Ovis aries: one gene and its partners. The protein of the gene in region 4 interacts with the protein of the main gene of each other region in a pairwise test. Links are inferred from orthologs where the notes say so. Each region holds a gene or a part of one and is shown on either strand. Other genes may lie near its edges.

What was found.
Region 1: the proteins of LDOC1 (region 4) and CTNNBL1 interact in binary tests that used the Homo sapiens proteins (3 or more experiments, as listed by UniProt). The two-hybrid records come from large-scale screens. The link is inferred for Ovis aries from reciprocal best matches to the Homo sapiens genes LDOC1 and CTNNBL1.
Region 2: the proteins of LDOC1 (region 4) and HDAC4 interact in binary tests that used the Homo sapiens proteins (3 or more experiments, as listed by UniProt). The two-hybrid records come from large-scale screens. The link is inferred for Ovis aries from reciprocal best matches to the Homo sapiens genes LDOC1 and HDAC4.
Region 3: the proteins of LDOC1 (region 4) and LENG1 interact in binary tests that used the Homo sapiens proteins (3 or more experiments, as listed by UniProt). The two-hybrid records come from large-scale screens. The link is inferred for Ovis aries from reciprocal best matches to the Homo sapiens genes LDOC1 and LENG1.
Region 5: the proteins of LDOC1 (region 4) and SMARCD1 interact in binary tests that used the Homo sapiens proteins (3 or more experiments, as listed by UniProt). The two-hybrid records come from large-scale screens. The link is inferred for Ovis aries from reciprocal best matches to the Homo sapiens genes LDOC1 and SMARCD1.
Region 6: the proteins of LDOC1 (region 4) and FAM107A interact in a two-hybrid assay, tested with the Homo sapiens proteins (2 studies listed by BioGRID and IntAct). The two-hybrid records come from large-scale screens. The link is inferred for Ovis aries from reciprocal best matches to the Homo sapiens genes LDOC1 and FAM107A.
Region 7: the proteins of LDOC1 (region 4) and FXR2 interact in binary tests that used the Homo sapiens proteins (3 or more experiments, as listed by UniProt). The two-hybrid records come from large-scale screens. The link is inferred for Ovis aries from reciprocal best matches to the Homo sapiens genes LDOC1 and FXR2.

What each region holds. Positions count from the first base shown.
Region 1 is NC_056066.1:66,596,191-66,600,348, reverse strand, and holds the start of CTNNBL1 (beta-catenin-like protein 1), read right to left. Parts: upstream 2,801-4,158; 5' UTR 2,713-2,800; coding exon 2,683-2,712; intron 1-2,682. UniProt on the Homo sapiens protein: Component of the PRP19-CDC5L complex that forms an integral part of the spliceosome and is required for activating pre-mRNA splicing.
Region 2 is NC_056054.1:2,119,454-2,123,650, reverse strand, and holds the start of HDAC4 (histone deacetylase 4), read right to left. Parts: upstream 2,801-4,197; 5' UTR 2,638-2,800; intron 1-2,637. UniProt on the Homo sapiens protein: Responsible for the deacetylation of lysine residues on the N-terminal part of the core histones (H2A, H2B, H3 and H4).
Region 3 is NC_056067.1:63,980,625-63,984,887, reverse strand, and holds the start of LENG1 (leukocyte receptor cluster member 1), read right to left. Parts: upstream 2,801-4,263; 5' UTR 2,775-2,800; coding exon 2,643-2,774; intron 1,285-2,642; coding exon 1,105-1,284; intron 488-1,104; coding exon 225-487; intron 1-224. Other genes in the region: TMC4 (transmembrane channel-like protein 4), read right to left, coding at 3,393-3,461, 3,558-3,636, 3,875-4,030, 4,128-4,258.
Region 4 is NC_056080.1:94,166,926-94,170,089, forward strand, and holds LDOC1 (protein LDOC1), read right to left. Parts: upstream 1,881-3,164; 5' UTR 1,799-1,880; coding exon 1,358-1,798; 3' UTR 501-1,357; downstream 1-500. UniProt on the Homo sapiens protein: May have an important role in the development and/or progression of some cancers.
Region 5 is NC_056056.1:136,225,193-136,229,370, reverse strand, and holds the start of SMARCD1 (SWI/SNF-related matrix-associated actin-dependent regulator of chromatin subfamily D member 1), read left to right. Parts: upstream 1-1,378; 5' UTR 1,379-1,407; coding exon 1,408-1,584; intron 1,585-2,261; coding exon 2,262-2,449; intron 2,450-2,702; coding exon of another isoform or gene 2,703-2,718; coding exon 2,719-2,761; intron 2,762-2,856; coding exon 2,857-2,979; intron 2,980-3,445; coding exon 3,446-3,568; intron 3,569-4,178. UniProt on the Homo sapiens protein: Involved in transcriptional activation and repression of select genes by chromatin remodeling (alteration of DNA-nucleosome topology).
Region 6 is NC_056072.1:42,922,450-42,925,718, reverse strand, and holds part of FAM107A (actin-associated protein FAM107A), read right to left. Parts: exon of another isoform or gene 2,740-3,269; coding exon of another isoform or gene 2,735-2,739; coding exon 2,565-2,734; exon of another isoform or gene 412-2,564; coding exon 27-411; 3' UTR 1-26. UniProt on the Homo sapiens protein: Stress-inducible actin-binding protein that plays a role in synaptic and cognitive functions by modulating actin filamentous (F-actin) dynamics. Mediates polymerization of globular actin to F-actin. Also binds to, stabilizes and bundles F-actin.
Region 7 is NC_056064.1:27,152,552-27,156,626, forward strand, and holds the start of FXR2 (RNA-binding protein FXR2), read right to left. Parts: upstream 2,801-4,075; 5' UTR 2,433-2,800; coding exon 2,352-2,432; intron 1-2,351. UniProt on the Homo sapiens protein: mRNA-binding protein that acts as a regulator of mRNAs translation and/or stability, and which is required for adult hippocampal neurogenesis. Specifically binds to AU-rich elements (AREs) in the 3'-UTR of target mRNAs.

The DNA of each region.
Region 1 (4,158 bases), on a different chromosome or scaffold from region 4:
CTCTAGAGGATCTTCCCGACCCAGGGATTGAACCCAGTTCTCCGGCATTGCAGGCAGATTCTTTACCGTCTGAGCCACCAGAGATATAACCACTCATTCAACCCACCTATCTCCGTTCTTCTTTCACACCAAATAACTGTCTTAAAAAGGAAATCACTTGGCACTTGGCTACATACTTCCCATTGCTTACAAGTTCTTTCCCATGATGTCCAGAGTCTCCAAGGTCAATTCTAGGTACAATATATTGGCTGAGGGAATTGCATGAATATAATTGCTAACATTCTTAACGTTTATTCTTTGACAAGCGTTGCTCCAAACACTTCACATTTCACAACAGCCTTATATGATAGGTACTTTCATTGCCCTCACTTACAAGATAAGGAAACCAAGGCAGAGAGAAGTTAAATATTTTGTTCCAGGTCACAGCAGTCAGGGAGCAGCAAAACAAGAGAGGCCAAGCAACAGAGCTCCAGACACATGGCTCTTAGTCCCCTATTCTCTACTGCAGAGCTGTCCAAGGAAAATGAGAAGCCAGCTATATATGTAATTTTAGTAGCCACACTAAAAGGCCAGTAGCAACATTTTAAAGTCAACAGAAATAGGTAAATTTTATTTTGAATATATTTTATTTTGCCCATTACCCATATATGATTATTTAATCAGTATGATCAATAATCAAAGTAATTAATATGATCATGTAATCAATATTAAAATTTTACTTTTTTATACTGATTATTCTAAGCGTCAGTCAGTTCAGTTCAGTTCAGTTCAGTCACTCAGTCATGTCCGACTCTTTGTGACCCCATGAATTGCTGCATGCCAGGCCTCCCTGTTCATCACCAACTCCTGGAGTTTACCCAAACTCATGTCCATCGAGTTGGTGATGCCACCCAACCATCTCATCCTCTGTCATCCCCTTCTCCTCCTGCCTTCAATCTTTCCCAGCATCAGGGTCTTTTCAAATGAGTCAACTCTTCACATCAGGTGGCCAAAGTACTGGAGTTTCAGCTTCAACATCAGTCCTTCCAATGAACAACCAGGACTGATCTCCTTTAGAATGGACTGGTCGGATCTCCTTGCAGTCCAAGGGACTCTCAAGAGTCTTCTCCAACACCACAGTTCAAAAGCATCAATTTTTCAGCACTCAGCTTTCTTCACAGTCCAACTCTCACATCCATACATGACCACTGGAAAAACCATAGACTTGACTAGACAGACCTTTGTTGGCAAAGTAATGTCTCTGCTTTTTAATATGCTATCAATGTTAGTCATAACTTTCCTTCCAAGGAGTAAGCGTCTTTTAATTTCATGGCTGCAGTCACCATCTGCAGTGATTTTGGAGCCCCCCCAAAAATAAAGTCTGACACTGTTTCCCCATCTATTTGCCATGAAGTGATGGGACCAGATGCCATGATCTTAGTTTTCTGAATGTTGAGCTTTAAGCCAACTTTTCCACTCTCCTCTTTCACTTTCATCAAGAGGCTTTTTAGTTCCTCTTCACTTTCTGCCATAAGGGTGGTTATCATCTGCATGTCTGAGGTTATTGATATTTCTCCCAGCACAATAAACTGTGGAAAATTCTGAAAGAGATGGGAATACAGACCACCTGACCTGCCTCTTCAGAAACCTATATGCAGGTCAGGAAGCAAAAGTTAGAACTGGACATGGAACAACAGACTGGTTCCAAATAGGAAAAGGAGTACATCAAGGCTGTATATTGTCACCCTGCTTATTTAACTTCTATGCAGAGTACATCATGAGAAACGCTGGGCTGGAAGAAGCACAAGCTGGAATCAAGATTGCCAGGAGAAATATCAATAACCTCAGATATGCAGATGACACCACCCTTATGGCAGAAAGTGTAATTTAACACAATTCAGACTAGTCCCATTTCAAGTGTTCAACAGCTGTATGTGGCTAGTGGCTACCATACTGGACATTTAAGAAGACCAAAGAAAGGTAAAATGGTTGAGCTGGGAGCCGAAAGACCTCATCTCTAATCAAAGCTCTTACTGAGTGACTTTGGAAAAGTCTTTTTTACGCTCTGGGTCAGTTTCCCCACATGTATTCTGAGCAAATGGGACAAGAGTCCTAGGGATCCAGCACATGTGAGAAAGTCAAACATCTGCCAACAACTGCAATTAACATGTGTCCAACTTTCTGCACTTTAAAATTAGCTTTCACATTCATTGATTAACACAGTCCTCAAACTAGCCTAATAGGTAGCTATTACTGTCTCTGTTTTATACATACAGAAGTTGAGGCTCCAAGAAGACAATAGAACTTGTCCCAAAGCCACAGAGCCGATCAGTAGAGAAGCTGATACTCAAATGCAAGAAAGTGCTCTCCCACCACGATCCTCAACTCAGTGACTTGAAGCAGAGAATTAAAGGGGAATGGTTGTGAAGATAGTCTGGGGCCTTCAGAAAAGTGAAAGGGAGTCAAGTCTCAGGGTTGGGTGAGAAGAGGCCCAGACGAAGTTAAAAAGAGGTCCGGGCCTTGAGGATCGTAATTAATTGAAAGAACCCAGGAGAAATTCGAGGAAGGGACCTGGTTGACAAGAGAAATGAGAGGACCCAGGCCCAGGGAAGAGATGGGAGAGAGTGATATGAAGGAACTCTGGTCCTGCGATTCCTGCCTGGGTGAGAGGACGGTCCCCCCAGCCCTCCTCGACCGTCATACCTGGTAGCTCAGAAGTTCCCCAACGTCCATGGTTGCAGTCTCAGTCAACACTGGCTACTCGGATTCCCTCCACTCACGACCAAACCGCGGCCCCCAAAGCGGCAGCTCCAGCCACACTGCCGTAAAGCGCCTGGAGCAGGGGCCGCAGAGCCAATGAAGCAAAAGTGCGCGCGACACGCAAGCCGGCCACACTGCAGTAAAATGCAGCGATACTGCAAAGCGCCCTGCTTTTAACAGCACTACTTCCGCCCGGAACCTGAAGGGGGCGGGGAAAGGGGCGGAGACTTGAAGGGGGCGGTGCGTTAAAGGAAAAGAGTAAAGAAACCAAGATTTATTGCGCGCCCCCTACGTGCTGGGCGGAGTGCAGGGCAGGACGCACGGTGTTTCCCTTGTCCTCTCTTAATCCATTCAGTGACCTAGGCAGTTTTATTCCTCGTTTTATTCTCAGTTCCAATAGAAAACTGAGGCATTGAACTGCGCTCTCCAGTACTATACCTACTAACCACCTGTGTTTACTGAGGGCTTGAACTATGGCTAGTCTGAATTAAAATATGCTTTAAGTGTAAAGAAAATACCCATCTGATTTCTAAGACTTGTGTTGATTACATGTTGAAGTTATACTTAGGGTCAAATAAAATATAAAATTTAATTTCACTTTGCTGTTTACTTCACCATTTCTATTTACTTTTTAAAATGTGATTAGTAGAAAATGTAAAGTACTCGTGTGGCTCTCTTTGTAGCTTCCACTCCATTTGTGTTGGACAGCACTGGCTCAGAAAGTGTAGTGTCCAAGACAATTGTTAGTACCTGTGAAACAGTTGGTGATGACATTTCCTTCTCTGGGCTTCTGTTTATTCATCTATGCAAAGGCCAGTGGAACTGGATAATCCTGTTTCTACTCAAGTCGTGTAAATAGGTTTTCTGTAGGTGAAAGTTGCCCATCATTGGAAAAGAACTATTCAAAGAGTGCATCTGAGCTCCTGGGATTTAAATGTTTCTGTCTTCAAAGAGAGCTAAGCCTCTCTACTAGTTCCCTTGGCGATTAGTCTGGTGTTTTTCATGTTCATGCTGTCTGTTTTAGTCCTTTCAAGCTGCTATGAAAAAAAAAATACACTGACTGGCTTATAAACAACAGAAATTTATTTCCCACAACTCCGGGGGCTGAGAAGTCCTAGATCAAGGCACTAGCAGTTTCTTCGTCTGGTGAGGGCCTGCTTCATGATTCACAGAAGTCCCTTCTTACTGTATCTTCACATGGCAGAGGCAGGTGAGGGTTTTTTTTCCCACCTCTTTTACAAAACTAATCAGGAGGGCTCCACTCTTTTGATCTAATCAGTTCGTCAAAGCCTTACTTCCTAATACCATCATCTTGGAGTTAAAATGTCAAATTATGGGTTTTGGGGAGATACAAACGTTCTGACCATCACAATATTGATAACCATCCTCCTCATCTTACCTCCACTGTCTCCAATTGTA
Region 2 (4,197 bases), on a different chromosome or scaffold from region 4:
GGGCCGCAACCGCTGGGGCAGAACTTGCCCTCCGGCTAGAACAGCGGGGACAAGGGCTGAGCCTCGCAGGCCACAGAGCGAGGCGGCTTCCGCGGAGGCGGGGCTAACGCGGATCGGCAGCTGATTCCCAGCAGGGATTTCGGGTCCAGGGGCCGTCATCCCGCCACCCCAGCAGAGCCGTAGCCCGCTCTCTGCATCTCCCCTACTCCCTCCATCAGGTACCAATCTATAGCTCAGGCAGCTTCTGAGCAATGAAAGCCCAGCCGTTTTCAATAGAGAACGGTAGGGACGGATTCTCCAGAAGTGATGAAATGTTTCTTCTGCTCTGGCAATTAAGACGGCACAAAGTCGCCTTTCCTCCGGTGCCACCCCCAACATCAAAGGATGAGAATTCAAAGCCATTCATGCTGCATTGAAACCTCACAATGCAGCTGGAAAATGGAAGTCGATTACTGGACATAAATATGCAGTAGTTAAAAGCAAAGAGTTAGAACGAAATTCAACTGCAGCAACCCAAAGACGTGCGGAAACTTCCAGAACTGGAGTCCTCCTGGTAAACACGAGGGGCATCCTTAGAAAGCACGCTTCTGGCCACTGAGCCAAGCTCGGTGCTCTGGACCCACGTGGCCCAGGGGCCATGTTGTTCTGCCCATCTTGCTACAGTAACGGCCCCCAAGGCCTCCGAGAACATGGCATTTAGAGATTTTTCTTTCTCATGGCTGTGAAGCTGCTGACCACAGAACATTCTCTCTTGGCTCAGGGCTGCTGAGGCCACATCTGTCCTTGGTCCCCAGGCCCCGCGGGCCTCCGCCCCCGCACACACCCCCAGCCCAGGGCTCTCCCAGGGGCGCTCCTGCCGCCAGTTCCGATCACAGGAGAGAGAAGTAACCCTAAAGAGGGCAGTGTTACATCTGCCTGCCGCATAAACCGTGCTTCTTTTCTGATTGATTACTGCTCTCTTTAGGAAGGTATTTGATCTTTAAAATAAAAGCCCAGAACACAGAAAGCTATACAAGTCTAACAATGTGTCAGGGTGTGTGTTTTTAAGGCAGGAAAATACTTCCCTCCCACACAAATGTGAGTTCTGGGGGAGATGCCACGGAGCCCAGGGAACAGAATATCTGGGAAAGCTTGCTGGGTCTTAAAAATAGATGATTGAACACAGATTTGAGAATGCTCAGGAGCTACCTGAAAAAGAAAATTAAATCTCACATATTTTTGATATCCAAACTCCATTCTGATGAAACTTCTAAGAGGGTGGCATTTTGCATTTCCAATTATAATAGAGTAATTGTGTTGCCATAGTGACCGCAAAATTCTGCAATAACTTTTGTTGCTTTGTAACTGCTGTAGTGTATATTTGTGTACAAGCAGCTGAGTTTTCTTAATTCAATCCCTCTCCCTCCCCCTGCCTGTCCCCCTCCGCCAGTCACCACCACCACCTTCCCTGGCTCAACCCAAAGAAAATTATCAAAAGCAACTAAAACTCCAGGCCACAGACGATCACGGTACAAAAGAAAAAGTGAAACCAGGCCAAGGTGCAGACCCACCAGTATTACCCCAGTCTTGCTAGGCTGGCGCTGGGCGAGGGCTGTTTACATGTTTACTCCCAGGCCTCCCCGGCTTAGGCGGTTTGTGGGAATAAACAGAAAAGCCTGAGCGGAGGGAAGAGGGGAAGGAAAGTAACTCCACAGGCCCCTTCCCTCCCTCGCCCAGGGCAGGCAGAGAGCTGCTGCAAGCAATTAGGTAGGTCTCTACAGTAATGCAATTAGGATTTAGTTAAGAAAGTCATTAGTTTTAAAATAACTTGAGCTTAATTTCTGCAACACTTTATTTGAAAATTGTGTCACAGCAGGTCAATTTACAACATGCAATAAAGAAAACACGCGTATCAGCTGCTGCAAGTTATTACAAATTTCTGATGTGCATTAAATGAGTACACTGGGTTCCACCCCCGGCCTTTCCGACTGATACGCACGATCTCCTGCTATAACAGTGTCAAATAATTCAACGCTCAATGTAAATACGAGATAATTTGCTTCGGATGCCACGGTGGGAGCTTGCGATGCCGCCAAGCGCGGCTCCCGTCACCTGGGCAGGACGGGGCCCAGGGCTCGGCCTGCCCGCACCCCTCGGGTCGCGGGCGCCCCACCCCTGCCGTTCCGGTCCGGGGCACACACACCCGGCGACGGCGCACCCCCGCCCGCCCGCCCGCCCGCCAGCCCCGGGAGGGACGTTTTTCTGCAAACTCACAGCCTCGACAAAGTTACATAAACGGCGCCCGCCGGGGCTCGGGAGCCCCCCGGCCCACCTGCCGAGGGCTCGGCCTGGACGGGACCGGGCGCCCCGGGGAGGCCCGCCGGCCGTCCTGCGCCCCCGCCCCGCGGGCGGCCCCCGCCGGGCCGGGGGGCTGCAGCGGGGAAGGTCCGGGACGGGCTCCGGCTCCGCTCCGGACGCCCGCGGGGCCGCGCGGCCTGGGCGCGCGGGGCCGGGCCGGGGCCAGGCCGGCGGGCGGGCGGACCCCCGGCGTCCACCTGCCGGGCCGGGCGGCGGGGGCGTGGAGGCGGGCGGGCGGGCGGCCTGCGGGCGGGCGGGGGGCGGACAATGGCCCGCGGGCCGGGCCGGGGCAGCGCTTACCGCGGCGGCGGCGGCGGCGGGCGCTCCGAGCCGCATCTTCTCAGCCTGCGCCGCCACCACCACCACCACCACCGCCGGCGGCGGGCGGGCGGGCGGGAGGGAGCTCGGGCGGCGGCGACGGCGGGGACGCGGCCGCGGCGCGCCGGGCCCAGGCGGCTGAGGCGGCGGCGCGGGCGGGCGGGCGGGCGCGCGGGCTCGGGCGCGGCGGCGGCGGCGGCGGGGACGGTGCTCCGCAAGCGGCGGCCCCACAACCTCCCCTCCTCATTCACAAAAAATTGACCCACGTTGAACCATGATGCCGCTCCCCCCCTCCGGCACCGAGGCGAGCGCTGATAGGCCAGCCCCGACGCCTGTCAGCGGCCCCGGCCCCGCCCTCCCGCCGTCGGCCCTGCGGCTATTGGCTGCACCAGCCTTGCATCACCTCCCCTCGCGGGTCCCTCCCTCCCGCCCGGTTTCTAATGAAGAGCTCGTCAATTACGGCTCGGCCCCGCCCTCTGCCCGCCCTCCCCGGGCGCCCGGCGGCCCTCCCATTGGCCCACTGGGGGGGTCGCGGGAACAGCCCCGCTTGGTCCCGCCCATCGGCCCCGCGGCCTCCAACTCGCCAGGCCCAACGCCCTCCGAACGCCAGGGATGCTCCACCCCCGCCCGCCTCCTGGTCCCCATTGGCTGCCGAAGCTGCCAATCCCAGGGGCGGGGCTATCAGAGGACGCTATAGGCGCCAGCTGGTGGACGCCTGATGGTTGGGAAAGTGTTGGGAGTCCAGGCGCGTGGTGACTGTCAACACGGGCCGTGGCCCCGGAAAGCCTCGTTCGCCGCCCCCAGAGAGCTGCGCCGCGGGGCCCAGCAGTGAGGGCCGGACGGGCCGCTCTCCTGGCGAGGGGAGGCTGAGGCGCGGGCTGAAGAGGGGAGCCGGTGAGGCCCGGCCGCGGCCGCCATCTTGGGTACGGGCAGCGATCACGTGGTGCGGCCTGCTCCCGGCGACGCAGGGGCGGTGCGAAGGCCGAGTGCGCAGGCGCGGAGGGCCCCGCCCTGCCCCGCGGCGGGAACGCGGCCTTGGGGGCGCGGGGCCGGGCCGGCCGGCCTTCCCGGCGGGCGCGGGGCGAGCGCAGTGCGCCTGCGCCGGCGGAGGGCCAGGGGATGCGCGAGCGCTCTCCGAGTCTGGTCCGAGTTCCCCGGTCCCGGGCGGAGGCCGCAGAGACGGCTTCCCACCCACTTTCCGGTCGTTCCGGGCTCGCATGCACCTTGGGCGGGGGTCCGGGCCAATCCGTTCACCCCGAGTGCTCAGAGTCCGGGCTGTGCCTTGCGGAGGCCTTCAGAGACTCCCCTTGGGTCGCACCCCAGGGGGGCGTGATGGGGTCTGCGGCGAGGTCGGAGCTGTGAAGCCCACTGGGCAGCCCATCCCGAATGTCACACCTGCGTGGGGACAGCCCTGCCGGCGTAGGGAGGTGCTCCTGCGAAGGATGGAGCCTCCAGAGAAGAACACCTAGAACAGTGACGTTCAAACTGTAGCCCTTTCGGAACTGTTTTATTAAAAAAAAAAAAAAAAAAAAAAACCGCTTG
Region 3 (4,263 bases), on a different chromosome or scaffold from region 4:
CTGTCCAGAATCTAATGTATACAACGTGAACAAGAGCAAGCAGATGGCCCACCAGCCACCAGGGCAGTGGCCTTGTAATAAATACCATGTAGTCTCTGCAGACCCCGGAACAAGGCTGAAAACGTTCAACGGTGTTACGAAAATGGGCCTGACCTTGCAGACCCCAGAGCCCCTGCCTCAGCCAGAGCGCCCGTGGTGCCCACTTGGCCAAAGAGGCTCCTTACTCTTTGGGTCGCTGTTTCTCAGGCGCCTTCTTTTCCTTTGTGCTGTGACCACCACTGTCTCCACTGTGCTTTCTCTTCTTCCCCAAGTGCTTCTGCATCTCCCGCAGCGGGTCCAGGCGGCTCTTGATCCTCTCGTCGGGCCCAGGACCAGAGGCGGGGCCGCCCGGCCTAGGGGGCAGCTGGTACCATGGGGGCTGAGTCTGGGCTTCCGCTGCACTCTGTCCCAGGTATGTTAGGATGCCCAGGGCTTTCTCTTGCCTCTCCTGAGGGAGACAAGATGTGAAAGTGAGAACAGGAAGCATGTTCCCTCTCAGGCAGCCAGGGTTCCCGCAGAGGCAGAACCAGACATTCAGCCAGCAGAGCCCGTCAGGAGCCGACTCTGCCAGCTGCTGGGACTTCAGAGATGAGTCCCCGGGGTGCCCCTGCTCTGGGGCACCAGGACAGCTTCAGCAACAAACAGCATAGGAAGGAGGGGACTGCTTATGTTAGGGTTCAAAGGCAGCATCTTTGAGGAGATAGAAAAGAAACTGTGAAGCCAGCCAGGTAAAGCAGTGACTGAGGGGGGAGGGGCGGGGAGGCAGTCTGATAGGAAACCCCGAGGGCAAGTGAGGGACAGCGTCTGATTTACATTTTAAGAAGCTTAACACTTCCCAACATCTTCAAGGTTTGCACATCAGGTTAGAGACCTGAGGGGGTCTACCTAGCACCCGGCAATAATCAACACCTCTTAACATGCTATGTTCTAATACTATTCTGAGTTCTCTAGCTTGTTTAATCCCCACCATCTCCCTAAATATTCCCGTAATCACACCTGAGGGCAAGGTACACCCCCACCCCTGGCTCCACCCGTGACCCGAGGAAGAGGGTAAGGCCACCTTACTTTCTCCTGTCGCTTCTCTTCCTCGTACTCTTTATTGCCTCTCGTCGCCCCCTTGCCTTCTTCCAGCAGCTCCCGAAACAGATCCACAGGGCCAGAACTGCATGGGGCTCCCGTTTCTGCTTCCAGTGCAGGAAGTGAGTTCTGATGCCTGGCTTTCTTCCGTAGGAATTCTGTGCGGGCCTGGAGGGAAAAAAAGTTACAGGCAGAACATTCAGAACCTAGCTGTAGCCCAAGGGACTCTTGAGCCTAGTGCTGACCACTGCAGTGGTAAGGGCTCGAAGGAAGGGAGCAGGGGCACTGGGAACCCAGAAGAGGCACCTGACTATTCCTGGGGAGAGGGTGGAGCAGTGAGGCAAGGCATGGTTTGTAAGCCATCTTCCAAACAGTAAACGAGGGGGTTTCATTTCTGACACAATGAAAACAGCTATAAAGGCAGCCAAAACATCTATTAGGACAGGTGATCTGAATTCCAGGAAGGGCGCTGAGTCATTATGCCCATTTGATTTCCAATTTCTATTGATAACCGTGAACTTAAAAAATATTGCTTTGGCTGCATCAGATCTAGTTTTATAGCATGTGCGATCTAGTTCTCTGATCAAGGACTGAATCTGGGGCCCCTGCATTGGACGCCACTGGGCCACTAGGGAAGTCCGATAAAGGTGAGCTTTAAAAACCCTGACTACCTCCCAGCCAGTGCTGACGATCGGATTAGTCAAAGGACTGGAAGCTAGGTGTAAACCAAACAGGTGAGGAGTTAGAGAGACTCTCTAACGTTTGTGCGCAGCGGTGCAGGCAAAAGGCACGCCTGGCGCAGCGGGACTGGCTTGAGACACTGTCGCTTCGCTGTGGCTCCTCTGAAGCCATCTCACTTCTCCGCCGAAGGGAGATAACCGCCCCGCTAAGAACGAACAGGGCTCGAGAGACTGCAAATCAAGCGCTTTGCACGGGATGAACAGGGGAAAGCGAAACTGAAGTCGCTCAGTCGTTTCCGACTCCTTGAGACCCCATGGTATGTAGCCCACCAGGCTCCTTCATCCAGGGGATTCTCCAGGCAAGAATACTGGAGCGGATCGCCATTTCCTTCTCCAGGGGATCTTCCCGACCCTGGGGTCGAACCCGGGTCTCCCGCACTGTAGGCAGACTCTTTACTGTCTGAGCCGCCAGGGGACAGCAAGAGCTCACTGCACAGGGTGTTTGTACAGCTAAAGTAACAAGCGGCCCGAGCTTCCGTGAACTGCCCAGGGCTCCGATTACTCACGACCCCCTACTCCGGCCCTCCAGGAGGACCAAGGAGAGGTCGAGGGGAACGTCGGCACGGCCCGCAGGCCCAGCCCGCCCGGGAGCCGGGCCCCAGGTCCGCCAGGGTGGCCCGCTCCCCGGCGCCGCCCCGCTCCCCGGCGCCGCCCCGCTCCCCGGCGCCGCCCCGCTCCCCGGCGCCGCCCCGCTCCCCGGCGCCGCCCCGCTCCCCGGCGCCGCCCCGCTCCCCGGCGCCTGCGCGCTGAGCCGCGGCGCCGCGTCCGCCCGGGCCGGGGGCTCACCTCCTGCTGAGCGAGCAGCGCCCTCCGCTCACGCTCTTTCTCCTCCTCACGGGCTCGGGCCTCGTCACGCCGCACGCGGGCGACATTGTCCTTGTTCCGGACGTGCCAGCTCTTCTTGGGTAAAATATTCATGGCGCCTCAGCCGTCCGCGGACCGACAGGCCCACCTCCTGGCACTTCCAATTGGCGAGAGGCAGGCCCCGCCCCGTTGCTCCTTCCTCGGCCACGGATTGGCTCTGCGCTGCCTGACACGACCCCCCAGGGCTGTAGCGAGAGGTGACTGGCTGCGGGGCCCACGTCCCCCGTCTCCGAGAATCGCGCGTGGCGTCGCCTAGCGACCGCCGCTCCCCAAGACTCTGATTCAATCACGTGTCCCCGCCCCGAGGCTCCTGAACGCAGCCGCTGATTGGCTGGCGCGGTCTCTCTCGCGGAAGAGTCCGCCACGCTCTCAGAGCCACACATTTGATTGGTTTATGTCCTGTGAAGGCTTGCCCCAGCTTCTGGACCGGAGATTAAAAAGCACTCAGCGGCCTCCGCTGTGTTTATTGACACAGTACTAGATTCATTGATACAGTACTAGAAAGAGGTTCACTGGAGGGTCGGGGCCTCAGCAGGGAATCCCAGGGCTGGAAAAGCACGGGGTCTTCCCCAGTTCACTCATTTTCCAAATGATGTTGACGAAGCTCAAAAAGGATCTGGGAGCAGGTCTGGGGCTGGAAGTGGGACGTCACCCCAAGCCAGGCTGGAGAGGTCAAAGAGTTCTGTCGGCCGAGCTCAGCGCCACAGCACGCTGTGCCAGGAAGACTTTATTCTGCGCCTCCTGAGGGAAAGGTAGAGGGGAGGTGAGACACATCTCTCCCCTGTGTTCTTTTTCATACTCTCCAGGACCCCTTCCCAGGGGCCAGGCCTGGCTCACCGTCTGTATCTGGCGTTTGAGTTCAGAGATGAGGCGTCCATATGAGTTAGCCAGGGCCACTGTATACGCCATCAGGATGCTAGCGGAGATAAAGTGGAAGCCACTCCGCAAACGTTCTCAGAATATCTTCCACGTAGGGCTTTTTAGAAAGCAGGGGTCTGGACCTCCTCCTTCAGACTCAAGGAGTCGAAGCATCCCAGCCCCCTCCTTCCCGAAGACCCAAGAGTTTGGGCCCCAACCCCCTTCTCTCTCGGAAGCAGGCAGCGGGACCCCAGGTCAGACATTCAGAATCAGACCCAGGAGTCTAGCGCCCTCACCTGGAGATCAGCAGAAGGGGCACAGCAAAAGCCTGGGTACCCAGGAAGAAGAGAAAATTCTGGGCCATCTGAGGCAGTTTGCAGATAGACTCGGGGATCGCCACCCAGATGGACGACTGACCCCGGAATGGACCACACAGCTTGGAAGGTGGGATCCTGGAATCAGAGATAGGCAGAGGTCAAGGATGGCCCAAAGTCAGAACCCTGGACAGGAGGGTGGAGGGTGGGAGAGGCCGGTACCTCCCACACTTACAGGAAGATGCTATAAAGCACAGGAACCGCGGAGATGGCCAGACCCAGGAGAAGGACCAAGGGGAAAAAGAAATTCACAGTGGAGGCTCGAAAGGTGCGGGAGGCCGGGGAGCAGGTGGAGAAGAGGGTGATCTGGC
Region 4 (3,164 bases):
GGGTTTTAAAACAATGTGCTACACTATGTATTGAAGCCTAAAATCAATAGCACCCCACAGGCACTAAGAGTTAACAGGCAGAACATCTCTGACCATGTTGAGGAAGAACCCCAAAGTTCATGAAAATAGAAATATTGTGTGTCCTGACTTGTACTTGTTGTTCCAGTCTAATTATTAATAGTGTCCCCTTGAAGCTCTCTCAAAATTGTCCCAGTTTGGGATGGTGTGCCACCTGCCTGCTCAGCCACCCCTTACCCATGCCACCTCAGAAGCACCAGAGAACACTCCCTTCACCAGGGCTATAAGAAAGGCATCAGTGGGGGTAGTACCAGTTTCCCCATAAAGCCCTGTAGTAACTGTCCTCTGGAGTTTAGTCGTGACAGTGGGGAGTACAGAGATTGAAAGTTGAATGAGATTCCCTGATGCCAGTGGGAATAATGAGTCAGGGTGAAAGTGGCAAAGGCCAATGATAGCCCTTAACCATGAAAAGACACTTGCTGTTGTTGTTTTTTTTTTTTTTTTTTGGTAGTGCTTGAAATTTATTGAAAAGAATGCAAATGCTTTTTCCAGGTAGCATTGAGGAGCTGGGCTGAGTACTTGCTTTTGTTTGTATTGTTCGGTTTTTAGTATTTTTGTCCAAATGCACACCTCGATGGGACTGCTGCAATTTTGAAATGAAGATGACGGGTGTGCAAAACTGATGCATAGGAGAAATGTCAACAATTGGGTTGCCAGGCACAATGGGCCCCTGCAGCAATCTGGTGGGCCAGGAGGAAGACCTGGAGTTAGTAGGGAACAATTAATCAAGTTGAAAGATTAGCCCCTGGGGAGGGGGGTGGAGTTGTTGGTGAGCAGTCCAAATCAGTGTCCCAGGAGGTGTAGCCCACAAAGGCATCTTCTAGATTGTTCCTGATCTCCAAAGGCCGGGTCTATCGCTGGAATCTGGTGGAGGGTGCTTGGGTGGCAGCGCAGGTCGCTGGGCAGAGGTGCAGGCCTGACAGTCAGCAAGGCAGAGTATAGGCTGACCGGTTTGTAAGAGGGGCTTGCCCTAGAGCTGGGGCTCAGAACACAGTTCTAACGAGCAGTGAGGGTCCTGGGGCTGGCCAGAGTGGGCAGCAGAGTGCACTTCAGAGACGCCCCAGCCTCAGCAGCAGGTGACTAGAGAGCACTATGCCTGGAACAAAGACAAGCACTACGGCAGAGAGTGGAGGGTGAGGAAGACAACCAGAGGGGAGGGAAAGGCCAGGGGATCACAGCGTTAGGGGAGCGCGGTGGCTCCGGGCGGGGCGAGGCGGGGAGGCAGCGGGGGTGGCGGAGGGCAGTGCCCTTCCCCCTCTAGGCCCGAGGGTCTCCGGGCCTAATACTCATCTTCTTCATCTTCGTCTTCGTCTTCTTCGTCGTCATCCCAGCCAAAACACTGTTTCATCTCATCGAGGAAGGCCCGGTAATCGCCCAGGATGGGGCTATCCATCTCAATGTAGGGCACCACCCACTCCTCGGCTTCCCCGGTGAGCAGGCTGATCAGGAATGCCACCTTCATGGCGTCGTTGCAGAATCGGTTCTCGTTGACGAGCATGTAAGACGCCGTCTGCACGATAAACTCGGGGAGCCGGGAGCTCTCGCCGTCAAACGTTTCGGGGAAGGGCACAGGGCAGCTCGGCGGACGTACCTGGCGCAGCAGGGTGGCCCTCTCGCACACCAGCAGCCGAAGCTGTTCCATGAGCTGGCTGTTCTCGATGCTAAGGGCGCGGTGCCGCATCAGAAGCGCGTGCAGCAGCAGGACCAGCTCATCCACCATGGCGAACAGCTTGGAAAGGCAGGGCAGGGCGCAGCTCGATTCGGCTAGGCTAAGGTGCTCTCGGAGGCCTCGCAGGAAGTGCGTGTCAGAGGAGACGCGCGGTGGCTAGGAGCGAGGGGCGGTGCGCGCAGGGGTCCCGGCGGCGGCGCAAGCTCCGCCCACACAGCCGAGCTGACGGCCCCGCTCAGGCACCGCCCGGCTGGAGGGGGCGGGGCCGGGGAAGGCAAGGGGCGGGGCCGGGGAAGGCAAGGGGCGGGGCCGGGGAAGGCAAGGGGCGGGGCCGGGGTGGCCCGGACTAGGGCTCGGCGTCCGCGCTCGCAGGTCCGGGGGCCGCTGGATAAAGGCGAAGACCCAACCTTGGATGTGGGTCGGGCCGTAGCCTGGACCGTGCAAGCGCAAAAGACCCATCTCTCAGAGAGGTTCAACCTGCTCAGGTTTAAAGGACTCACCACCCTTCAGCCAAGCCGACTCATACATCTCGGTGTTCCTTGGAGGGCCAGTAGCCCCTGGGTTCCCTCTGAGTGGTTTTAACACATTTCTTGGCTTATGAAATCTCCCTCACCCAAAGAACCGTTAGCAGTGCTGGCTGCACGCCAGCGTCACACCCTGTAAGAGTTATGAAAGACCCTCAGGGGTCCTGTCTTTCATGACAAAGCGATATTTAAAAGGGATTTTTCTTTGGTTGGAAAATAGTATTGTGTACTTCTATCCCTTTGTTTAAAATTATTTTTGTAAATAGCAAAGTGTAAAAAGTTCTGCAAAATTTAGCATCCAATCACCATTTGCAGGAGTCCTGCCTATCTTTGACTCTATTTCTGTCCTAATGTTAGTGTCCCTTGACTACTGGGTATTTATCCCCTGCTTAACAATAAACACTTGTGTTTTAAAAATGGCTTTGCTTTTCTACTTTGAATGCGATTATTCAAATAGTTGACAAATGAGTTGGGGAGACAGCCTCTGGGCCACCACATTCTGTTGGAACACCTTTTAAAATATATTCCCAGTCGAATCACTTCTTGTTACTTCTACCAATACCACCCTGGTCCCAGCCCTCCTTTCTCACACAGGCTGTTGAAACTAACCACTTAACTTCCATTCTTCTCTTCCTATAGTGTATGTATTCCCCAGAGTAAGGACAGGACTCCTTTAGAACAAAAGTTAGATCACTTCCCCTCCCTGCTGTAAACCCTCCAATAGTTTTCCCTTATCAGTCAAAAGAAAAACCAAAGTCTTGGTAATGGCCTACCAGGCCCTACCTCATCTGCGCCTCCTCTCAGTTCCTGCTGTGCTCTAACCACATTGTTCTCTCTGCTGATTCTTGCACACAAGTAGCTCTGGCCCCAGGACCTTTGTACTTTCTATTTTT
Region 5 (4,178 bases), on a different chromosome or scaffold from region 4:
AGTCAGTGGCCTTTGCCTCCTTCTGGATGCCCAGGCCTCTTTGCTCACCTAATACCCAAGCCCATCCCTTATACTTCTGGTGAGGTACCGTTTGATAGTGGAACGAAAGAGACAGGCCTAGAGGGGACGTTGAAAGCTCTGCTATTCTGTTCCTCCTTTCCTCCCTTACTGAGAAACCAGCGAGATAGAGGACCTGCCATGCCCCTTCCATCAGGCACTCCTCCCAGGCCAGAGCCCTGCCCCTTCCCAGGCCTTCTCTGTCCAGCTGCCTCTCAGCCTCCAACCCCAGAACAAGACCTGTGGCAGGTCATCTGTGCATTGGCCTGGAGCTGGAGAGTGAGGCCATAGGATCTTTGGCAACTCTTGGTTCCCAGGAGTTCCTTAGAGATCAAACCTCTCCAGAGGGAAGCAGGAGCAAGGCCAAAGGGTGTGCAGTGGATGGGGAACAGCAGGCAGGGCTATGGGTGACGCATGCCTCTGGTCTAATAAACTGGGTTTTAACCATCTCCTCTTCAGTGTCGTTCTTCTCTTATTTGAATAGTATTTAGGCCTTCCCACTAAGTGTCTAGAGCTGAGCTTGGCTTGGGGCCACACAATCAGGGGAGGAGTAAGGAGGCGGGAGCAGGGGTGCTCTGGTCCTCCTGGGATGGGACAGGCTGACATCACACCAGGAATGGTTTGAACCACTGGGCAGGGAAAGAGGAAGAGGTCAAAGGCAACAAAGATCCCCAAAAGAAGTCCTAGCAGAAAGGATTCTTTGGCGAGGAGGAAGGGTCACACTTCGAAATAAACTTAAAATCTGGTAGCAGTTTAGGTTAAAAGTCAGGGGGAAAGCTGGGCTGAAGTTCCTGTAGTTATTGAGGCACTTTATGGAATGAGCCCCGGACTATGAACCGGAAGATCTGCATTATAGGTTTCGACTTTACTACTAACTTGGTTGACTTCACCAAGTCATTTACTGAGTTCACCTCGCCTGCTTGTAAAATGGAATAAACAGTGCGTTCTCTTCAGTGTGCTGGGCTTAGAGCAGGAAGAGAAGGAAAGGAAAAACGCACTGCGCCAAGATGAAGCATTTACTCCATCACCCTCGCGCAGGGATGGTGCAGTAGTCCCCCTTTCCAGGTCCTTGTCTCCCTCCGTCGGCCTGGGGGCGCCCTTTCGCATGGCCTCTCTGTCCCAGAGCTCTTCTCGATGGTTTTCCCTCCCGGATCATGAAAGCTGGAGGGAGTGGTCACACGCCTTTTCCGCTAGTTGCTCCCCTCTAGCCCACAGTCTCGCTGCCCTGAGCCTCCCGTGCCGGCGGGCCGGCCGGGCGGACAGGAGGGCGCACGGGGGGCGCGCGGGGGGGGGGCGGGGGGAGTTCCGGTTCCGGTTCTTTGTGCAGCTGCAGCAGCGGCTCCGGGAAAGATGGCGGCCCGGGCGGGTTTCCAGTCTGTGGCTCCGAGCGGCGGCGCCGGCGCCTCAGGAGGGGCGGGTGCGGCGGCTGCCCTGGGCCCGGGCGGGACACCGGGGCCTCCGGTGCGAATGGGCCCGGCGCCGGGTCAAGGGCTATACCGCTCCCCGATGCCTGGAGCGGCCTATCCGGTGAGTGGGGCAGGAGGAGGGGCGCGGGCCGGGGGCGGGGCCGAGCGGGGGCCTGGGAGTGACAGGGGTGGGGGGAGGAGGAGGAGGGACGCGCCTGGGAGGGATTCGGGCGCCGAGTTGGGGTCGGGGGAGACGCTGCGGGGAAGGGAAGGGAGGCTGTTAGCATCCCCACCTGCTCCTAGAGGCATTGTTTTCTTGGGGAGTCAGGATGTAAAACCAGGGTGGACGAAGTGAGGCCAGACGTGGGCCTGTGAGACCTTGAGTGCAAATGGACTAGGCAGGTCCAGTGCCCAGGAACACAGAAGGTGTAGCTGGCAAATTGAGGTCAGCTTCTGAGGAGATAGTGCCTGACAGTACTCTCTGAGTAAATATGGGACTAGAAGAGATGTCCAGTGTGCCAGATACAAAATAGACCGGGGGAGGGGGGCGATTTGAGTATAGTCTGGCTGTCTTTGCTTTGGGCCTATATTCTCCCGTGGAGTCAGAGCTGGAGCAGTGGAAGTTCCAATTACTTGGATATCAGAGAGGTAGAGGGCTCTCCTCCCACCCCACCATTGTGCTCCACCCCACCTTCCTGCCTTGTTTCATTCAAAGAACTCAGGCCTCCCCCACTTTCCCTTTCTTGGTGGGATTTGCAGGGGAAGCCATGACATCTCTAGGTCCTCTCCCCTCTGTAGAGACCAGGTATGCTACCAGGCAGCCGAATGACACCTCAGGGACCTTCCATGGGACCCCCTGGCTATGGGGGGAACCCTTCAGTCCGACCTGGCCTGGCCCAGTCAGGGATGGACCAGTCCCGCAAGAGACCTGCGCCTCAGCAGATCCAGCAGGTCCAGCAGCAGGCGGTCCAAAATCGGAACCACAAGTAAGATGATCCCAGGGTGGAGGGAGGGAGGGAGGAGGCCTGAGAGGACGCAGGTGCTGGGGTGCCTGAGCAGAGAAGCGCAGTGCCGTGTCAGCAGGCGGTACTCATTCTTGAAATAATTGCTTCGTGTTTGTTAGGGGCGGGGGTGTCTTTGATTTGAGACAAGCTTTGCAGTTTCTTCACTTTACTATAAATGGAGGTGCTGACAGCCTGTCTTCATGTTCTGGCTAGTTCCATCCCAACCTGATAACAGTATTTATTCCAAACAGTGCAAAAAAAAAGAAGATGGCTGACAAAATTCTACCTCAAAGGGTGAGTCCAGGGTATAGACCTTCTTGAGGTTGTGGTGAGTTGGAGAGTAGAGATGGTCAGCCTTAGATCCCAATGATATCTTTCTGTTCCCTAAGATTCGTGAACTGGTACCAGAATCCCAGGCCTATATGGATCTCTTGGCTTTTGAAAGGAAACTGGACCAGACTATCATGAGGAAACGGCTAGATATCCAGGAGGCCTTGAAACGTCCCATCAAGGTAACACAAGAGAGTACTAGGCAGAGAGCCAAAGGAGAGGACTCGGGAACCTTCAGCAGGCTTAGGATGAGAAATCAAAGGCATAGCACAGCTTTCCTTGGCATTTAAATTACATCTCTTCTGCCTACAAACTGAGAAGCGTAAGAACAGAACAGCAAAGGGGAAGGGGCTTTTGATAGTTCTTGCACCAGAAATATACCCTGTTGGTGTTTTTGCCGTAACTGCTCTGCCACCTTGGGAACCTGGCATCTTGCATGACTGTCTACTTGGCATCCCGGTGAATGCATTTGCACTGAGGCCCGTGGCCTGTGCTCCTCTTCTCATTGGAATCTGCATCCAGCCACCCCAGGGACTGGGTAGACAGTAAGCCAGTCTGTTAGGAGTCATTGTCGGGTTTGGGGGGACCCTTGTCTTCAACATCAAACCACTGAGGCCCCACTGTCAATCCTGTTTCTGCCTTCCTCAGCAAAAACGGAAGCTGCGAATTTTCATTTCTAACACTTTCAATCCGGCTAAGTCAGATGCTGAGGATGGGGAAGGGACGGTGGCTTCCTGGGAACTTCGGGTAGAAGGACGGCTCCTGGAGGATGTGAGTTCAAGGTCCACCGTGGTCGGTGTCCGGGGTGGGAGCTTCTGGGAACAAGCAGTATTGTCTGGTTGGCAGGAAGCCTGACTGGTGCTTACAGCTCCTGTTGGGAACAGCAGGGAGAGGGTCACTGTGTTCTCTGCACTAACAGACAATGGTTCTTTGTGTCTGGCTCCCACAGCTTGGCCCTCTCTGTGGTATCACATCGAGAACCTTATTGTGCTGGGATTTGATTTGTTGTTTACCTCTCTCCTGATGCTGCTAGCCATTGGATTTGGCAGTATCTGCAGATTTTTCAGTTATTTTTTTTCTTGTAAACCAAGTGAATTTGCACTTAACATTTGGGCCATGCTCTCTTCCCTGAGTCCTTGAGGTCCTTGATTTCTGCTGTGGCCTCTCCATCTTCCCAGCTCCTATTGGAAACAGCTCGCAGTTTATGTGGGATTGATTTCTGTGCCTGGCTCTTTGTTTTTTCATGGGGAACATCAGCTGCCAGGTGATAGCTTCCAACTTCCCACCCCAGAAGCTCCTTGGAGACGCTCACCTGCCATTCCCTTATACTCTCTGGCTCTCTATTTTTAGCTGTTCACAGGCAGGCCAGTGTGAACGCAGT
Region 6 (3,269 bases), on a different chromosome or scaffold from region 4:
GGGCAGCTGTGAGAAGATAATCAGAATCAGCATGCAATAGATGGGGCCAATGAGAAAACTGGACCAGTGCGTTCCCTCTCTGAACCCAAGTCACACAGCGAAGGGAGTGGCCGAGTGAGAACGCAGGCCAGGGGTGGACCCTGGGTCCAGTCCTCATCTGGCTCCGCCTCCTCATCAGCTGTGACTGCAGGCTGAGCGCCTCCCTGGGCCAGCAGGTAGTCTTGGAGGAAGCTGGGGCTGGGGCCCCCACCCACCTGGTTCAGCCTCTGCTGCCGTCTCAACAGCTCCTGCTCAAAGGGGCACTGCAGCCGCTTGGCCTCCAGCTCCTCCTTCTTCTTCTTGATGAGCTGGTTCCGCCGGCGGTGTTCCAGGACACGCTGCAGCTCAGGCTTGCTGTCCACACCCAGGCCCCTGTGTGTGTGGGGGGGGAGGTGCGCGTTAGGAGACGCCCACCGCCCTGCACCCAGGGCTGCAGCCTGCACTGACGTCAGCCAGTGCCTCGTGCAGTCTGGTAGCCCGGGGATGGGCAAGCATTTCTGTTCCAGGGTACAGGGAAGGGGGACCCCTAGACTTGAGACTCCAGTCCACGTCACAGGTGTGAACAGACTGAAGGCGGATCTGTACCCGGGCCTGTCTGAGTGCAGAGAGCAGGCTGTAGGATATTACTGGTTATTTTCTCAGGGTAAGTTTCTAGAAGTAGAATTGCTGGGTCAGGCAAAATCTTCAAAGATTTTTGGTTATATGTTCCCATCTGTTCCTTAGAAAAGGTTATCCAATTTATAACTTTTGTCGACAGTATTTAAGAGCATCTATTTCTCCTTACTGTCCAGTCTTCTTGTATTGCAGAATCTGGTAGGCAAGAAGGGTCTGGTGGAGCAGCTTGGAGATGGGTGCCAGCTACTTTCATTTGTTCTGTGAATTAACTGTACCTTCTGTTCATTTTTTCTTTATGGATTTGTGAGAGATAACGTACATATTTTTGTTATTTATACTCAAACATTCACCCTGATTTGTCTTTAGGCTTCTGTTTTTCAAACTGGTGATTTTAAAAGGGATAACTCTAAAAGAGATCTTGACGAAGTACTTCCAATACACAGTCAACCCTCCGTTTCCACAGATTGAATTTGTGGATACCGAGGGCGGGCTTGTGCAATGCCACTTTATACAAGGGCCTTGAGTTTTTGGGTTCTGTTGAGGGGCCCTAACCAGTCTCGGTGGATACAGAGAGACTAGTAACCAACGGGCAGGAAGACAACATGGATGAAAAATGAGATCTGCTGGACGGTATGTTAGTTGAAAATAAGGACAATCACAGCCGGCGTCAATACCAAAAGCCACCACTAGAGGGAGCTTCGGAGGCTTTGCAACCTGCGTCCGGGTGCTGCTGAATAGAGGCCTTCTTGGGAAGGGAGGGACGCTCAACCTCCCTCTCCCTTCCCCATGCATGCTCAGTTGCCTCAGTCGTGTGTGACTATTTTTGCAACCCCATGGACTGTAGCCCACCAGGCTTCTCCGTCCATGGGATTTTTCCAGATAAGAATACTGGAGTGGGTTGCCCTTTCTTCCTGCAGGGGATCTTCCTCACCCAGGGATCAAACCTGCCTCTCTTGTGTCTCCTGCATTGGCAGGCAGGTTCTTTACCCCTGTGCCAGCTGGGAAGCCTGCACTTCACCACAGTCCCTCAGTAACCCAGTAGTCCCAGGCCCGACACCTTCAGCCAGCCTTGCCCACTGCATGCTCCTGGCCTGCCTGCTCCACTCGTCCCTCCTGTACGGTGAAACCCAGCACTGGGACCCTTCACAGCCCCACATTCTTCACTCTCTCTGAGCTCCTCCAGGTTCCTCTGCACTCTCACATTCTCATCCATCAGCTGCTCGCGGCTAGTACCCACCTCCGACCCTGGCTGACTCCCACCCACTCTTCTAGCCCTAGCTGAGGCATCACTTCGTCCTTGGAGCCCAGGCTGGTGGCTCCGCTGGGGTCGCAGGCCATTCGTGCCTCCCTCAAAGCACCCGTCCCACCATCTGGTCAAACATCGGTCTCCTCTGTGAGGGCAGGAACTGGGTCCCATTCCCCTGTGTGCCCCTCGGTCTGGGCACAGGGCATCCACGCAGCCGACACATGGAGAGCAGGCACCCGTGGCTGACTAGGCGGGGTCACAGGGCTGCTGGACCTCCACAGTGTGTGCTGCTGACCACATGCTGCTGCTGCTGCTGCTAAGTCGCTTCAGTCCTGTCCGACTCTGTGTGACCCCACAGACGGCAGCCCACCAGGCTCCCCCGTCCCTGGGATTCTCCAGGCAAGAACACTGGAGTGGGTTGCCATTTCCTTCTCCAGTGCGTGAAAGTGAAGTCGCTCAGTCGTGTCCGACTCTTCGCAACCCCATGGACTGCAGCCTACCAGGCTCCACCATCCATGGGATTTTCCAGGCAAGAGTACTGGAGTGGGGTGCCATTGCCTTCTCCGCTGACCACATGGGGCACCCTCAGACCTGCTCTGTCTGTCAGAGCCCCAGGGTGACTACCAGGCTGGCCTTTCACAGGGTGGGGGGGCTCCTTTCCCACCTCCTGTGGTTCATGAGCAGCTCGCGGTGCATCTCCTGGTGGTTCCGGGAGGCCTTCACGGGGTTCAGCAGCTTCTTGGGCTTGATGAGCTCTGGGTTCCATTCTCTGTGTTCTGGCTGGGCCATCAGGCCTCCGATGTCGGCCCGCTCCCTCTGGATCTCAGAGTACATGGAGGCTGTAGAAACAACACAGCAGGGGCGGGGGAGCTGGTCAGATGGGCCCACAGCCTCAGCCATTCACACAGCAGGGACGGGGGAGCGGGTCAGATGGGCCCACAGCCTCAACCATTCTCGCAGCACAGTTGAAGGGCAAGGCTTTTGGTGTTTGATGGATCTTCACCACCATGCAGCCCTGGGGAGGCTGCCTGACTTTCTGAGCCTAGGTTTCCTCATTTGTGACAATAAAATAGATAGCCTGTGCCCAGGGTGTAAGGATTGGGGATCATGGCTGAAAAATGGTACTGGATCACAAAGTACATGGGTTGACACGTGCAAATGTTTTTGACCTTTAAGGAAAAAAAATTTTTTTCCCTCCTATAAGAGGAATTGTTTGAGTTTCTGTTTCTCAGGGAATTTGTATCAGAGAAAGAAAAGATACATAAAAAGAGCAATGTGTACTTGTTAAAGGTAATTTGGATAAATGCAGTGATAAAAGAAAACATCACCCCTTATTTTCCTGTCTGTAGTTTCCTCACAGATGTGTCCA
Region 7 (4,075 bases), on a different chromosome or scaffold from region 4:
ACCACACTGAAGTCTGCTGAGTCATGAATATTAAATCAGCAGCAAGGTCAGATTCAGTAAGTATATGGCACTGAAAGTTAAGAAAGATTACTGAATTTAAGGATGTTTTGTTGTTCAAATGAGACAAGGAGCAGAAAATGCTAAAGTGGCCAAAATACAAACTCCATATTACCTGGCTTTTAGTTGAACTCCAAATTCTATTCTCTGATTCAAAGCATCCTATCTTTGATTCACTGAATCAAGTCTATCACTGCCATATAGCCCACAGGAGAAAAGAGAAAGATTCAGAGACAGACTTTCTACTTGACACTTATATGTGGAAAGGGAAACATGCCCCTTCCCAGCAGTCTCACACGGTTAATTCAAACTGGATACTGATCTTTCCCATGCTTCCTGGAACAAAAGCAAACATTATATCTTGATCTCAGACTCAATTTAAGAAGCACTTTCTTGGGGCTGGGAAGGACCCTGATGAAGGACAGGATATTGTGGGAAATTAGGTTAAAATCTTATGAGAAAGGGTATTTCAACAAAGGTAAGCAAGCCTGAGGGAAAAGGATATAAGAGACAAATGTACTCTATCAGAATCAGAAAGGAATTAAGAGACTTTGCCAAAGAAAACAAATGGTATGGAGGCATGCTAGAGAAAAAAGTCCCATGAGTTAGGAAAGTATGTAGAAAAAGAATGAAAGAAGGGGTAAATTGGGAGCTTCCTTCTTCCATGTTAGCTGGGTCATGGAATAGGTAGTTTTGGGGGATTATGCAGAAATACTAGGATAAAAAGCCACAGACTTAAATTGAGAAATTAAGACAGATGAGGTTACGCATAGGCAATGAAGAATATAAAGAAATCTGGTGAGGGGAAGTCAGGCAGGAATGAATAGGCATTTAGAGTGGGTCAAAGATGACCACTGAACTTATCAATTGAAGCTGGGGCAGAAACCTACTCCAAGGGCTAATATGAGACCCTTTCCAGTTATAGCAAGATACGACTTCACAGGGAAGGAAAGTCATTTCCAAGATACCAAGGTGGAGAGGTCCACTACGGGAGGAAAGGCTTGAGGGGAAGTGGAGGAAAGGGGGCTCTTGTCCTCACAAATAATGGATGAGGGCAAAATGAGAGAACAAGTCAGGAAGCAGGAAAGTCTCTGAGACAATCCCAGGCATAAAGCACAAAGCGGTTCAAACTAACAACATAACAACAGTGGCAAAAGAAAAATTCCTGAGAGGCAAGAGGGGTCTCCCTCTAGCTTAATATAAATGAATGGGGAAAAAAGTGTCCTAAAAAATAGATTCAGGGGACTTCCCTGGCAGTCCAGTGGGTAAGACTCTGCATTCCCAATGCAGGGGGCATGGGTTTGATTCCTGGTTCAGAAACTAAGATCCTGAATGCTGCACAGCCAAATAAATGAATATTAAAAATGTAAAGACAGTCCTCTTCTCCTTTAAAAAAAATAAATAAATAGACTATTGGGTTTCCAAATTGGGCAGGTTGACCAAAAGTCTTCTAGAAGTGGAAATCCTTAAGAAAAAGATAAACAGAAGTAATCCTCATGAGATCTCATTTTAGATAGAGAGTAGGAGTATGAAGCTCACACTCCTCAAAATGAAGAAACTATATGAATGATTTGAATGTATGAGGTCAACGTGAGATGACAAATACAAAACCATCCTCCAGTAGAAGAGCAGACCAACTAGCCTTGGAAATAAAGGGGTGGGGTGAGAGAGACTTGTGAAAAGATGCCACCTTATGGCTAGGAGGCAACTAGACTGATACAGCCCAGAGTTCCTGAGGTCAAAGATACTAAATGTCATAAACAGCTTCTGACCGTTTCTCCTTGGTGTGGGAACAGAAATATAAGATGAAAGTGGAGTGAGTCTTTCAGAGCCAGTAGGCAGAGGCCTCTCCGAGGAAGATGAAAGGATCTAATATGGGACGGCTTTCCCAAGGGGGTAATAGGGGAGAATAAAGAGAATTCTCCATGTGCTTGGACTGTGGGGAAGAGGTGATTAAGATCCAAGGTATGCCTTCTATTAGGAGACAGGAAAAGTCAATAAGACGCTAGGGTAAATGGGGTCTCTCCTGGGGGCTGCGGGGGCGCTGATCCAAGCACAATAATGCCCTGATGTTCATTCCCAGAGATGCGGGTAAAAGCAGGTGTAACAGAGGGGCCAAAAATAAGGGGTTAACTTCCAGAAGTCTCCCCCAAGGAGGGCCGCGGGTGGGATCGTGGGTCCAAGGTTCTAAGGGTCAGGGCTAGCTCCAGAACCTCGATCCCACCCCACTCTTCCCCGTTCTGGCTGGAGGGAGGGGGCTGAAGACCGCGTCCCTGGCCGGCGCGCCGCCTCACCTTGTAGAAGGCCCCGTTGGAGCCGCGCACCTCGACGGGCAGTCCCGGCTCCACATCCCCCCCCGAAGCCAGGCCGCCCATGGCGCCGCCACCGCCTCCGACTCCCCCGGCGGCGGCTGCAGCAGCGCTCTGAGTACGGGCCGGGCCAGGTCCCCGGCGTCTCCCTGGAGGAGGAGCTGGAGGGGGAGCCGCGGGGGGCGGGAGCCGGGCCGGCCCCACGGCGGCCCTGCCACAGCCAACGAGCAGGGGGCCGGGGCCGGGCCGCTCCCCGTCCGCCGCCGCCGCCTTGGTCTCCGCCACCGTGAGGAAAACGGCCGCCGCCGCCGCTGCCTTCGTCACCTCAGCTTCCGCCCGCCGCCGCCCCCGCTGCAGCCTCAGTCCCGGGACCCACTGCTGCCGCTGCCTCTACACGGCCTCCTCCTCCCTCTGCCGCCGCCGCCACCTACTGCGCAGACGCACCGGGCACCCGCCCGCCGCGCGCGGGCCCCGAGGGCCACGGCGCACGCGTCAAGGCTGGCGACCCAGCTCTCGCTGGCCAGCGCAGCAGGGCTTCCACACTCCTCTTGCCTCTCTCACGCCCCCTCCTGGTCGCTGATTTACGCTTGCGCAGAACCAAACTGACTCTCTTTCTTCGCCACCCCACCATTCCACCGCCCAGTCTCTGCCTTTCCCCGCCCCACAACACAGAGAGCTAACCAATCATGGGGAGGGAGGGGCCGAGCTCACTCAATCGGATTGGGCTTCTGATGCTCCTTGGTCAGGCCACACCCACTTCACGGCTGTGCGCTCCACCAGGCTTGGAGAAGTTAGGGACGGGCATGCGCCTGAATGATTGCTTGGTCACTTTCTCCACCTTTGTCTTTTTGGTGCGCACGCTCCGGGGCGGGAGGCGGGGGGAGGGCGCGGGAAGGAGGAGTCGAAAAGCAAAAATGGGCCTAGTGCGCGTGCTCTGGGCCTTACAGTCCACATGCCGGTATGGACTCTTTTGAGTGTTTCTGTTTCTGCGCGTTAAGATTTAAATTAAGAGTCACCTTCTTGCCTTGAGAAGATTCTGATCCTGCATATGATGAAAGGTTAAAGAAAGATTTCAAGACACTACCGAAAGGCAAATGCAATTTGGCACAAGATTATTATCTAAATGCTGAGAGATTTCAAAATGGGAAAAATTGTTAGAGAAAGGATAGTTGAGGGGAAGCTTAGGATTCATAAACTAAGTAAGAAATTTAAGTAGAAGTGAATAAAATAGCCAAGAAATTAGGATCATGTGTGTGCAGCTAATCATTTAGCCAATATTTATTTAGCCCTCACTGTGTTCCAGTTACCCAAAACAAGGATTTTATGATATATTGGAAATGGCGCAGACAATCACATTTAAGTAAATAAAGTGATTAGAGTTCATCTGAAGATGTGTTAAAGATGAGGACTAGGATAGAGGGAATCCCAAAGACACAAACAATGGTCAGTTGCCCTTCAGCATGATAGGGAAAGACCACTACAGGTGAGGTAATGCAAATTGAGATTTGAGGGATAAGTAGGCGTTTGCTAGAGGAAAAATGCAGTAAAACTATTTTTGAGAGAACAAGGAATAAACAGTGCAGAGGAGCAGAAAAAAACAAAACATGTCCTTTGGGGAACCACAACTAGTTCAAATAGCATTTGGCTTGAAGTAGGGAAGCTAAACTGTGAAGCACTTATAAATCAGGTTAAGGAGAATGGCCTTCACT